Linked DNA regions of Caenorhabditis elegans. The protein of the gene in region 1 interacts with the protein of each later gene in a pairwise test. Each region holds a gene or a part of one and is shown on either strand. Other genes may lie near its edges.

Region 1 (4,215 bases):
AAATGCTTTTTCTTCGTGGATCCGATTCAGATGGACGACCTGGCAGTCCGAGAGCCGTTCGAAGGAAAGATTCTTGTGAGAGAGGCGTGAAACACAAAGGGTATAGGTTCTTCTTCAGATTCATATCACCAACAGTTTGAATATCCATTGCTTTCAGTTGAGCTTCGCATACACGACCAATTCCTCCAACCTAAAAAATTATCTAGGTAAAACTAGAAGGTTATGCTTTAATAGTCTCACCTTACGAATCGGTAAATCCTTCAAAAACTCCATAATCGCGTTTTTATCATTTTCTAACACATATTGACCATTTGGTTTGTTCAAATCAGAACAAATCTTAGCGAGCATAAAGTTAGATGCGATTCCAGCAGAACATGTTAATCCCGTGAGTTGTTCAACTCGAAATCGAATTTCTCGAACAGCCTCCTCTCGTCCAGTTCCGAACTCCACATGGTCGTAGTAGATTTTCCGCGATTTTTCGCATTTTGGACAGATCGATTCTTCGATTTTCAAGTCTTCCAAAGTATTTTCATTCTCGTCGAAACGGGGTAACCAACATGGACAATCTCCGCCGAATCTGTGACGCTTGAAGGTTTCTAGTAAGCAAATAGTTTTTTGTTAATAATCAAATCTAAATCACTAACTTTTTTCTGTATTACTTGCCACATAGTCTGTCAAATCTATAAATGCCTCATCCAATGACATCATTCCAACATCCGAATCGTATTCCATGAAAATTTGTGAAAATTGGCGACTGACTTTAGTGTATTTAGGGTAATTTCCTGGAACAATCGTTAGACTCGGACAAAGTTTATTTGAGATGAAGCCAGGCATTCCAGCACGGACTCCAAAACGGCGAGCCAAGTAGTTGGATGTGCTCTGAAAGAATAGATTTAAAGCTTTTCCGAAATCGAAAATTTACTTTTCAAATTGAGTTAGGTGCTTACCAGCATTGCCGATGAGCCTACGGCCATAGGAACTGTTCTCAGTGCAGGATTATCTCTCATTTCAACTGCGGCAAAATAAGCATCCATATCTATACAAACACAGTCTCTTGATAAATCTCTAGATGATTCCAGTTTCATCTCAAGATTCTCCATCTGAAAATTGGAAATTTGCTCTAAGTAAATTTATTAGCTTTTAAAATACATACCAGTATCTCAGATTTTTGTCTTTCTTCTCTGGTTGCTGTTTGCAAACGATTTTTGATTTCTAAAACTTTCTCTTCAATTCTTGATTGTTGTTTTTTGGAAAACGACGAGTAGGACGCTGATGTGTTTTCTTCGATGACTTTCGTGATTTTCTCCTTATCCAGTCCATTCATTCCAGCTTTATTATCGTTGAAAGTCAGCATTTTTCACGAAAAAGAGCCGGATTTTGAAATTCGCGGAGAAACTCCACTGATTGTGAGTGTGCAAATGCGCGTAATGGTGTACTTACGTACATCGGCAACACATTTGACGACATATCAGAAAGCGGCGCCAAATTAGAAGTTGAGTGCGCGAGAAAAAACTACGCGTTAACCGCCAATTTTCACTTCCCCACAGATCTGTCTCGAGATTCTCGAGTCATTTTTCAAGTTTATTTGTTTGTCAGCGGTTGTTTTATTGAAGATTTGTAAAATTTATAACAAAATGTGCAATAGTCTATTAAACCTCGTGAGATATTTGAAGAAACTTTCCCCGTTTTAAATATTTCGTGTATTCGTGGAGATCGCGGGAATGTTTTGCCTGTTTCCGTAAAATTCCTCTATTTCTTTTATTTTTGCTTGCAATTTTCGATTCATTTCAGAAGTTTCCACATTCGCAAAACGAATGGACGTCTCTTATTACGATGGTCCCAAGGATGAAGTCGCCGAAGCAATGCTGAAAAGCGCGGTGACGGCCATGAGATTGGGACAATACGAGGATGGAAAAGGACGCTTAGAGGAGATAATGGAGTTCGGAACCTCAAATTTTCAACTACTTGGTACAATCTACATGTATTACGGAAGAGTGTGCAGGCATTTGAACCATGATGCCAAGGCCTTGGAGTTTTTCGAACATGAGTTGAACATGTTCAAGTAAGTGAATCACAAAAATGAGCTGGACATTCTATAACCTTAATTTTTCAGATTGATCTTCAACTACCCAGAAGCATGTGATTCCACACGTCGCATCGTCGAGCAGGCACTCAAAATGGGAAAGTTCCCCAAGGCTCGACGGTTTGCTGAGGATCTCATTGATTACACCAGCAATAAGAAGAACGGAGAGAAGTATATCGGTCAAGCTCGAATTTTGTTCGCTTCCGTGTGCCTCGAAGGATGTGAAAGAGACGTCGAGAGTAATCAAGATGAGAAGAAGAAGCTTTTGTCAATATGTGCTGAACAGATTGCAGCCGTGAAATTGTTCAACGAGAATAATACGGAAGGAGCTGTGTCTGAGACCAAAATCATGTTACTTGAGGCGAAATGCTTGTCACTAGACGAAAAATACGAGGAATCGCGTCGCAAGTATCAAGAATGCATCGATTTTGCCATCAAAACAGACCAGTTTGAAGCAGTTCACATCGCCTATTACGACAAGGCTCTATATGCTGAGACAGATCTTCTTTTCTTTATTATCAGAGATCTCAGGTAATTTTTAGTTTTAACGATTAATAAAAATATCAATTCTTTATTCACAGAAGTGCTCTCTTCTACGCCACGAAATTCGGAAAAGAGCGAGATGTAGTCAAATATAAGTCGAAGCTATCCGAAGAGATGCTGAGAAATGGCGAATTCCACGAAGCATATCTCTACGGATTGGAAGCGCTTGTATCGATTCGGAAGCTTGGATTGAACGAATACATTGGAGATGTGTTGCTTACAATCGCAAAGTGCCTCATTGCACTTGGAAAAAGACGCCAAGCTGCTTATTTTATCATCTTGGGGAGTGTTCTGACCATCAACCAAAACAGTTTCAAACTGTTCTACGAGCAGATCGACGTGGCGATGAATCAAGAGAGAAGCGAAACGGCAACTGATCAAGATGTATGCCTCGCAATTGATTCGTCTCCTGATCCGACATCCTCGAATGACATGATTAATAAGTTCGTCGTCGAACTGGAGCACGCAACAAATGTGGAAACCTGGGAAATGATTGTCAACGGAATCATTGACGACCAGAAGAAACCAGTGGCGATCGAAAAGAAAGAGAACGAGGAACCCGTAGACATGATGGATCTCATTTTCAGTATGAGCTCACGTATGGATGATCAAAGAACTGAACTGCCTGCTGCCAGATTCATTCCGCGTAAGAAATGTTATAAATAAGCGTATAAGTATGCAAATTTATATTTTTCCAGCTCGTCCAGTGTCATCGGCATCGAAAAAGACTACAAAGAGTCACAGAATCCTCCCTGGACTCCGTGCCAATTGGACAAAAGTGCAGTCGATGAAGTTCGATGGTCACACAATGAATAGGATCCTGAAGAGGTCGAAGAAAAGCAAATCGTCATTGGATTCTACAAATTCGATGCAGGGCGATGATACTCGAAGCGATGATGTGACAATGACGTCCAAATAGGACCATTATTTTTTCTGTCAAATAATACAATCAAACTTTCTTTATTTATTTTTTTTTTACTTTCTTTCAGTAAATATTATTATCATTTTAGTGGTTCTTTTATTTTATTTGCTGGTCAGAAAAGCTGATTTTTTCAATTAGCGAAAATCCATCAAGTCATATTTCTATAGACTCTTTACTACATACGTTGATGACTTTCGTGATTTTCTCCTTATCCGGTTCATCCATTCCAGCTTTATTATTGTTGAAAGTAAATAAGCATTGTTTCCCGAAAAAGAGCCGGATTTTGAAATTCGCGGAGAAAAAGTTGAAAATTGAAAAATCCAAACGATGCTCCGATGTTCCGTCCGAAATGTGTGTTTTACCGTGACGGTGTTTGCAGACAGCTTGAAAAAACATTTATTTTTTTATTTTAATTTTATTAATTTATTATTTATTTTAGAATGTTCTATATTTTAAAATGTGAATTTGTTTCAGGGTACTCGGAATGTTTGTCTTAAACCGTTCAAGCGGGCTCATTCATCGATCTGTACCTTTATTAGCTCAAGTATCCACGCCTACGACTTCCACAACAAAATTAGGTTAATAATTCTCCATTTGGTGATAAACCAATTCTTTTCTGCTTTTTTAAAACATTATGTTACAGCTCAACTTCACACAACGCATGCAC
Region 2 (2,882 bases), on another chromosome or scaffold:
ATTGAACATACGATATGAGAAGCTCTTTGACAGAGTACATTATCGGCAGAACCGTTTCGAGTTGAATAAAGCCGTCTTCGTGAAGATTCGTCATATGAATAACTTCTGCTTTTTTGAATATCGACGGGCAAGCATCAGCTAGATCCTTGACAGTATTATCCTCTTCGTCTCGAAATTGAATATTCAAAGTTGGAATCATTTTTCTTGTCGGTGAAAGATTATATGGTCCATTTGTGATGAATACTTGTAAAACTCGTGATCTATCCGACATGAATTGAGTCAAAGCAATAATAAGATTTCGCGGCATTTGTGGATCAGGAAAAACCAGCTGACACGTTTCCAGTTGAACTTCATGCAATGCCATCTCGACCATAATTTCTTCAATGAACCACGAGTTTTTAGATAGGCTCGGATTGACGTGGCAGCAGAAATGTTTCAAATTTGGATTTATTAGTCGTTTCATTCGTTCAATTTCCGTACACCATTGTCGATCGAGATGAAGTTCCAATGATTCGATTCGATCCAAAACGGCGGCGTCGCCTGATTCCTCATCCAATTCAAACGAAAAGTTTCGTGCATTTCTCACAATGATTCTGTTTAATTTGGGAAACTTTTCTATATTGTCCAGAATTTGTACAGTAAATCGACGGCATCTAATTTCAAACTCCACTATCCGATTGAGAAGTCGCTTGCTGACTCCGTTGAAGAAAACATCTTAAATTTAATAATAAATTCCTGAAAATTATCGTTTTTGCAGTAATTACCTGGATTTTGAATAGTATCCTTGTAATTATAGCCTACTATTTCGCTACGTTCATCTTCAGGAACATCTGAACAGTTTCGAACTGAAAGACGGGACGAGAAATTACGAGGTCGCATGAGAAGAGTGAGAATTGATGGCCACTGAAATAAAACATAATTATAATACAGGTTTAAAATAATTATAAGCAATCTCACATTAGGATCTTCTTCCAATCGAATCGCAAAATTTCCAGAAATCGGAGTTTTCAAGCACAATTCTCTCAATCTTCGACTCGAAAGCTCCAGTGAATTTCGATCTTTGAACCTCTCAACAAATTCGATAATCTTCATCATTAGCATGTCATTCCAGTATAGTAACGTCTTCGTTTCCTCACCATTTGGCATCAAAAACTGCAAAAATATATGTGATATGAGCGGAACAAGAACACAAATCTATGCGCAACAGCTTGAACAAACATTCGGTTGACCGAATCGAATCGATAAAGGTGCGGGGAGACTAGCGGAGCGTGGTGGTGGTCACTAATGGATTCTCGTGAAAAGATTTATAATTGATATTCAATAAATAAATCAACAATTAGCTTAATTTTAACTATTTTCAAATGAAACGGAACGCCGTCCAGATGCGTGTCAGCAAGTGCGCGCGTGCGTAAATCGATAAATTTGCTTTGACATTTTCGAGTTGCACACTCACAGCGCGCGGCTCTTTTCTTCCATTTTCTCATGCTTTTTTCTTGTTTTTCTCAATCCCTGCTTCAGCCGTTATTCATGTTTTATGTCTTGTTGTGTCTAGAATAAAACATTTATTAATAATTTTTTGTTTCAGTTATAAATGGCTGAGAAAAATCACCAACAACAAGAACGACTACCTGGCAACCCGTTTTTCCCATCAAGAAGCAACGCTGGCTCTTCATTTGACATGCCCGTAAGCTTTCTAATAATAATAATGGGAAAAAGGAATAAAAATATTTAATAATATGCAGGAAACACCACATCTCATCGATTCGCTCACTTCTCAAATCGACGAATTCACAATTCAAAGCATAATTGATACTCAGAGACAGAGGTAATATACTGGAGAATTTAGAATTTATTGATTTTTCTTTTTTTTTCAGCTTGAAACGCTTCGAAAAGACAAATGAAATGCTCATGAATTGCGCTCAACTCGGCGATCGAAGAATTGAAAAAGCAAAAAGGGATTCTGTGGGACACAAAGAGACAATTCTGCAGATGAAAACTGATTTGGAATTTATTTTCAAAAAAATTCGCATGTTCAAAACAGTTTTGTCGTCAAAGTATCCAGAAGTTTATGCTGAAGGTGCAGATATTTTAATTTGAATACTTTTAAAAAGTTCATCAAATTTCAGTGTCAGCCGAGCTAACGCCAAAACGAAGCGAGGAAGACGAATGAAATACAATTTATTCGTAATTGAAAAACAAGAAGAAAAAAAATAACAGATCATTTGGAACAAATACAAGTCACAGAAATTCAATAAAGATCTCAAATTTTTGATTAAAGTGAAGTCGAAATAAGTTATAAAATTTTTTGTTTTTAATTTAATTAGTAACTTCACTATGGGGACTTTTTGACACAAGAGAAACAATAGAAATTTGAATAGAGAAAATATTAATGTGGAGGTGGTTACTGTCGGAATAAAAATTTAGAGTTAAAATATCAATATTACACGATTATGATCTACGGTGACGTTTCGAGTCACGACAGTCATCATCAGAATCGGAAGAAGCTGATCTATCATCTGAGGAAGAATGACGGCGTTTTCTTTTTTCCTTTTTACTTTCCTTGCTCTTCTTCCTTTTTCTATCCTCTTCCTCATCAGAATCACTACTATCATCAGAATCATCTCGTCGCCTTCTCTTCTCTTTCCGTTCCTTCTTTCTCTCCTTTTTCTCGAGTTTCTTCGCCTTCTTCTTTTCTTTTTTCGCCTTCTTTTTCAGCTTTTTCTCCTTTTTCCGCTGCTTTTCCAAAGCAATGAGCGGAGTCTCGTCGTCACTTGATTCAGATGATGTCGAACTGACCTCGTACGCTTTTGTCGATACATTTGGACGTACTTCAATGTGATTTCGACACTGGAAGTATAGATGACCCGGATATCCACATCTTT
Region 3 (5,401 bases), on another chromosome or scaffold:
TCCCTGGATTTGTACGAAAATCAGTTGACCGAAATTTCGCATCTCGAATCACTCGTAAATTTGGTTTCTCTTGATCTGAGCTATAACAGGTGAAGAATTTAAGAAACTTTTATTTCAATAATAACTTTCAGAATACGCCAAATCAACGGCTTGGATAAATTGACAAAGCTCGAGACTCTTTACCTTGTCAGCAATAAAATTGAAAAAATCGAAAATTTAGAAGCTTTGACGCAGCTCAAACTGCTCGAACTGGGAGATAATCGGTAAATATGGAATGTTTCAACATCAAAATCACAAATTGTGTTCAGAATCAAGAAAATCGAGAACATTGGTCACCTTGTAAATTTGGATGAATTATTTATCGGCAAAAATAAAATTCGTCAGTTGGAGGGAGTGGAGACCTTGCAGAAGCTCAGTGTTCTCAGCTTGCCGGGAAATCGTATTGTGAAAATTGAAAATGTTGAGCAACTGAATAATCTGAAGGAACTTTACCTCAGTGATCAGGGTCTACAAGATATTCATGGCGTCGAACCTCTGGTAAAAAGCAATTCAAAATACACTGAGAAATGGGTCTTTTTTGCAGACTAATTTACTTCTTTTGGATGTTGCAAATAACGAAATCAAAACGTTCAGTGGCGTTGAAAGACTAGAAAGTCTTAATGATTTCTGGGTAACCGAGACATTTTACGTTTCTTCTATATCTTTTATTATTGCAGGCAAACGACAACAAAGTGGAAAGCTTCTCCGAAATTGAGCAACTTTCAAAGTTAAAGGGTCTTCAAACTGTATACTTGGAGAGAAACCCGTTCTATTTCAATGATACAAACCAATATCGCAGAAAAGTTATGATGACCCTCACCCAAGTAACTCAAATTGATGCTACTACGTGCAGAAAGCCAATTGAATAACTCTCGGACGCTTCCAATAAATATCCGTTTGCTTTTCTTATCCATGATAATCTTTCATAAATATGTATCAGTTTGCTTCATTGTTTGATATTGAGAACAAAGTGTAAGGTTATTAAGAGGAATCGCAAATGAATCATAATCGACCTCCATATGGGCGAAGCCAATCGAAATGGCCAGATATTATCAGCTAATGAAAATTTAAAAAAAAAACGACTAATCAAGAGTTTGAAAAAGGTTTCATACTTTGAGAATAATGCAGTAGTTTTTAGACGGTGCGGTGAGATTTTAAGAAGAAATTATTTATTCTTCTCGCTAAATAAATATGAACCAAAACCAACTTTCCATGCCTGAAAACTTAAAGTGTGTCAATTACAGAGCTTTTCTTTTGAGAACAATCAAGAAGTTTCCTCGAAAAGTATTAAACATATATGAAATGAAAGCTACTGTAAGATTTTTTGTTGTGAAAATAAAGATTTTATTGGAAGGCGCACTTAACTTTGTCCCCTAAAAAAGGAATGTTCTTTCTTTGTTTTCATTAAATAATTTCAAACTCAGCAATGTGTATACGGTTTTTTTAAAAGGCGCATGCACATAATCTTTCACATGGTTTTATAAATAAAGAATGAAACCATTTTCGCGCGCGCGCGCATTTTTGGTTTTATTTTTCATGTTAGATTCCTCTAATGTTCATTTCAATCAGTGTGTCATCCCACTTTTTAACAGCTTCATTTTTATTTATTATTCGTCCTTTTAATATTTTTTTGGTAGACTTGTGCATGTTGACCTGCAGGTCCATGGAAAAATTGTCATTTGAATTCCCGCTGTTTTTAGAAGTGTCGTGAGAAAAGTGTACGAGCATGGTGTAAGAGACGCAGACATTCTGCGTGCGTCTTTTAAATATTCTTCGTTTATGTATGCGTTCTCTCTCGTTCTTTCGCTCAACCACTCGCATTTTCTTTGAATAATTACTCCTTCTGCAGAATGAGCGTGAGCACATCAGTTGTGAAGTCAATGCTACAATTGACGAACTATTTTGGCTCCAATTTCACACCGAAGACGGAGACAATCAGCTCATTAGCCGAGCTTTGGGAGAGGCACGGGAGTATGATCGCCAGTATGATGTAAGTAATAGCTCATTCATAAACAATTTCATATTTTATTTTTCAGGTCATGCGACACTCGGGAGTTTGGCACAGCTGACAAATTCTATGAAGTTATCTTCCGCAAAATCGCCACAACGAGTCTCAGCTTCATGACCGATTCATTGGAACCGAAGCTTGCAGCGAGCGGAGATTCACTGGAGATTTGCAAATTCTACGCTCTGTTTCTCGAGTATATGAGAAAGGATCACTCGGGAATGCTCACTCGCGCATTGGAGCAAGCGTCATCAGAGAATCGCGTCGACACAGCTGTGCTTCTTGATATGTTTTTGTTTTTCGACAACGTGTATTCGGAAAGTACCGCTGACGACTGGTGGGCATGTCTTCGGAGAGATGACGAAGATCAGGAAGCATCCAGTGGCTTCAGGACTCCGAAAAGGAACAACTACAGCTTGACATCATTGCAAACACCAACAGCTACTGCCCGGCGACTACGCACAGCTTCCTCAACTGCTCGGCGAAGCCCTATAGCGGAGGCTGTCGATTCCCCTACCATGAAGTTCATGCGAAGCGAGCGGGAGCTGAAGCAGTCTAAAGCGAGAATCTTTGGTTTGGAGCAAATGTTAGGAGACCTTGAAGATGACAAGACCAAGTTATCGGCTGAGAACAGAACTTTGAAGCTTTCGTAAGTAAAATGGTACATTGAATTTAAAATATGGAGAAAATATTTTAGGAATTCCGATCTGAAAAGCGACATCGCTAAACTGAAAGGTATCGCCGAGGAGGCACAATTTCGTGCTGAAGAATTGAGCTGTGATCTCGAAGCCAAAAAGGATGAAGTCCACAACATTCTCCAACAACTCAATGAATCTCGAATGACGTTGAGATCCGAGCAAAGAAGTCTGGAGGAAGCTGACATAAAGAAAGAGAATCTTACTGCTAAGCTGAAAACGGTGACCGAAGACAATGGGAAGCTCATGAAGCAGGCCAGAGAGCTTCGAGATCTCAACGACTATGAATTCGCTAGATTCCGTCAGCAGGAACAGGAGCTTACTGAGACTCTTCGGGCGACGCAGGACCAAATGGCTGACCTCCAGGAACAACTTACCGGAGTGGAAAAAATAAGAGCGTCTCTGAAATCTGAAAACGAGAGCCTTTCTGCCAGTGTTGAGGAGTTGAGTGTTGCTTCATTGAGAAACAAACAAGATGCTGACAACTCTAAAACTATGCTTTCCGAGGAACTGGCGCGTTTTGAAGAGACTGTGGACAAACTCCGACAAGAAAAGCTTGAAGCGTTGAGCATGGCCAACTCCAGAATCGATGCTCTTCGTTTGGAACACTCGGAAAGAGAGAAAATGATGAAATCCACGAATGCACGCCTTCAGGCTGACCTTGACGAAGAGAGGAACGAGAAAAAGCGCTTGATGAATCTCTGGAATGAACTGAATGAAAAGTCCCTGAATGTCGACAAAGCTGTACATAAAAGCAACGAAGAATTTCAGTCAATGGGTTCTTGTCTTCAAAATGCGAAAAGACAAATTGAGCAGTTGGAAGTTGCGTGCAAGAGTAAGGACGATATCATCAAATTTCAAGAGGAGCAGAACAAACGAGCTGCCAATCTGATAAAGAATGAAAAGGCAATACGCGATCAGGCCTCAGCTCAATTTGCCGAGAAGTTGGCAATTCTCAAGAATTCTCTAGCGGAAAAAGAGAACGAAACAGTCACCCTTAAAGAAAACTTCGCAAGTGTGGTAATGAAGCATAAAGCCGAATTGGAGGAGAAAGAGGTTTGCTTGTTGAATATCAAATTGAATACAACATTACTTACTTTTTAGCTGTTCCTTCAATCTAGAGTGGATCTGATTCAACGTCTCGAGCACGAAGTTGCAGATCTTCGAGAGAAGGAAAGCGCCGAGATTAAGAAATCCACCTGGATGGGTGAGAGAATCAGTGAGTTCATATTTAACGTTTCGAAATTGAATTTTCAATCTTGTTTTTCAGAAATCTTCCAACAAGCTCCAATGAGAGGTTCGAGAATCAGATGCGGTTCGCCAGACAGCTTGCCAGACTTCCTCGCCGATAATGGACCAACAATTACCGAAGAAGAATTGCGAGCACAGCTTGCCACGTTCCCAAGAAAATCGATTGCTCCTAGTGTGGACGACAACGAATTCGATAAAGGAACACCGATTGGATTCAAGTCGAATATGGTAATCAGTTTATTATTATGCAACCTCAATTTTGTGAGACGAGACAATTTCTTATATAGACGAGACAATTTCTTACCACAAATATTGTCCAGAACGTTCAATTTTCAGTACGATGGACGTGAGTCAATTTGCTCTTTGGATTTCTTCGACCGGTCTAGTCTTCAACGTTCGTCGATGCGATCGGAATCTATCCAATTGGCATCGCCATCATCAGCTGGAGAGTTCAAGCAACCATTCACACCATCCGGAGTAACCAAGGAAAGAGTTGGAGTGCTCACTGCCAGAAACGAGAAAGTGAAGCCACACCTAAAATGCTCGTACGCCTCTGAAGTTGGAAGTACGAATTCGCCATCCGCAGACGAGGAGAATATCAAGAAGTCCAAGAAAAAGAACCGTCGGGATTCGATTTTTTCTGCTTTTTCGAGCAAAAAGCAGTAAAATATACTTTCATACATTGTAATATAACTTTTTCACAACACACTTTTGTTTTATGTTTTGCTCCGTGTTGTATCCTATTTTATCTATTTTACAATTCCTTTCCTAACGATCGCTGAGAAATGAAGAAGTTTCTTATTTTTTATGTGTTCTTGTGAAAATGATTGTTTCATCGCAGTTCTATTGTAAGAATCAGGCCCTTTTCCTTCACAAATCATCGTGCCGACCAGGGGTGTGCGGCGAATATTAGCCGAATTCGCCGTTCGCCGATGATTTTTTCGATTCGCCGAGTTCGCCGTTAGCTGAAAATTTTGAAAATCGGCGTTCGCCGAATTCGCCGTTCGCCGAAAAATCGCCGAATTCACCGTACGAGAATCGGCGAACTCGCAGAGCGAAATTCGCCGTTCGCCGAAAATTTCAAAAATCGGCGAGCGCCGAATTCGCCGATCGCCGAAAAATTCGATTCGCCGCACACCCCTGGTGCCGACGCGTCCCCGTTTGAATTGCCGCCCAGCCGCCGTGGTCGCATTCTCCGCGCCGAGACCCATCGTCGATAAAGGCTGCTCCTTTAACCGCCGAACGCCTAGATATATAAGCTGAGGATCGCTCATTCTGGATCATTTCTTAACCTTTTATAAGTTACGTGTCTTATTGCTCCTTTCTCCCGTTTACTTGTTGCGACATTGCCATACGTCTGTCCCTTTATACTAATAAATGCTTGTAAGATAAACCTCGCGTAGCTTGTTAT

What was found.
Region 2: the proteins of gpr-1 (region 1) and kxd-1 interact in a two-hybrid assay, tested with the Caenorhabditis elegans proteins (2 studies listed by BioGRID).
Region 3: the proteins of gpr-1 (region 1) and lin-5 interact in a two-hybrid assay, tested with the Caenorhabditis elegans proteins (6 studies listed by BioGRID).

The regions. Positions count from the first base shown.
Region 1 is NC_003281.10:8,627,143-8,631,357, forward strand, and holds gpr-1 (G-protein regulator 1), read left to right. Parts: upstream 1-1,783; 5' UTR 1,784-1,814; coding exon 1,815-2,062; intron 2,063-2,113; coding exon 2,114-2,614; intron 2,615-2,664; coding exon 2,665-3,272; intron 3,273-3,324; coding exon 3,325-3,545; 3' UTR 3,546-3,634; downstream 3,635-4,215. Other genes in the region: polk-1 (DNA polymerase kappa), read right to left, coding at 1-190, 241-596, 645-879, 948-1,100, 1,154-1,354; DnaJ homolog dnj-10, read left to right, coding at 4,033-4,126, 4,192-4,215. UniProt on the Caenorhabditis elegans protein: In the 1-cell embryo, probably together with gpr-2, controls nuclear rotation and spindle elongation during mitosis. Complex of gpr-1 and gpr-2, in association with lin-5, activates G-protein signaling to affect mitotic spindle force.
Region 2 is NC_003283.11:7,219,888-7,222,769, forward strand, and holds kxd-1 (KxDL domain-containing protein), read left to right. Parts: upstream 1-1,581; 5' UTR 1,582-1,591; coding exon 1,592-1,684; intron 1,685-1,742; coding exon 1,743-1,825; intron 1,826-1,874; coding exon 1,875-2,077; intron 2,078-2,126; coding exon 2,127-2,170; 3' UTR 2,171-2,269; downstream 2,270-2,882. Other genes in the region: C13F10.6 (FTH domain-containing protein), read right to left, coding at 12-714, 765-903, 958-1,092; C13F10.7 (CCHC-type domain-containing protein), read right to left, coding at 2,449-2,882.
Region 3 is NC_003280.10:7,858,771-7,864,171, forward strand, and holds lin-5 (Spindle apparatus protein lin-5), read left to right. Parts: upstream 1-1,888; 5' UTR 1,889-1,889; coding exon 1,890-2,029; intron 2,030-2,075; coding exon 2,076-2,693; intron 2,694-2,741; coding exon 2,742-3,795; intron 3,796-3,843; coding exon 3,844-3,958; intron 3,959-4,009; coding exon 4,010-4,218; intron 4,219-4,326; coding exon 4,327-4,656; 3' UTR 4,657-4,793; downstream 4,794-5,401. Other genes in the region: sds-22 (Protein phosphatase 1 regulatory subunit SDS22 homolog), read left to right, coding at 1-89, 132-263, 309-537, 584-670, 717-908. UniProt on the Caenorhabditis elegans protein: Essential component of the spindle apparatus required for spindle positioning and chromosome movement. Acts to recruit or anchor gpr-1/gpr-2 complex to the spindle and cortex.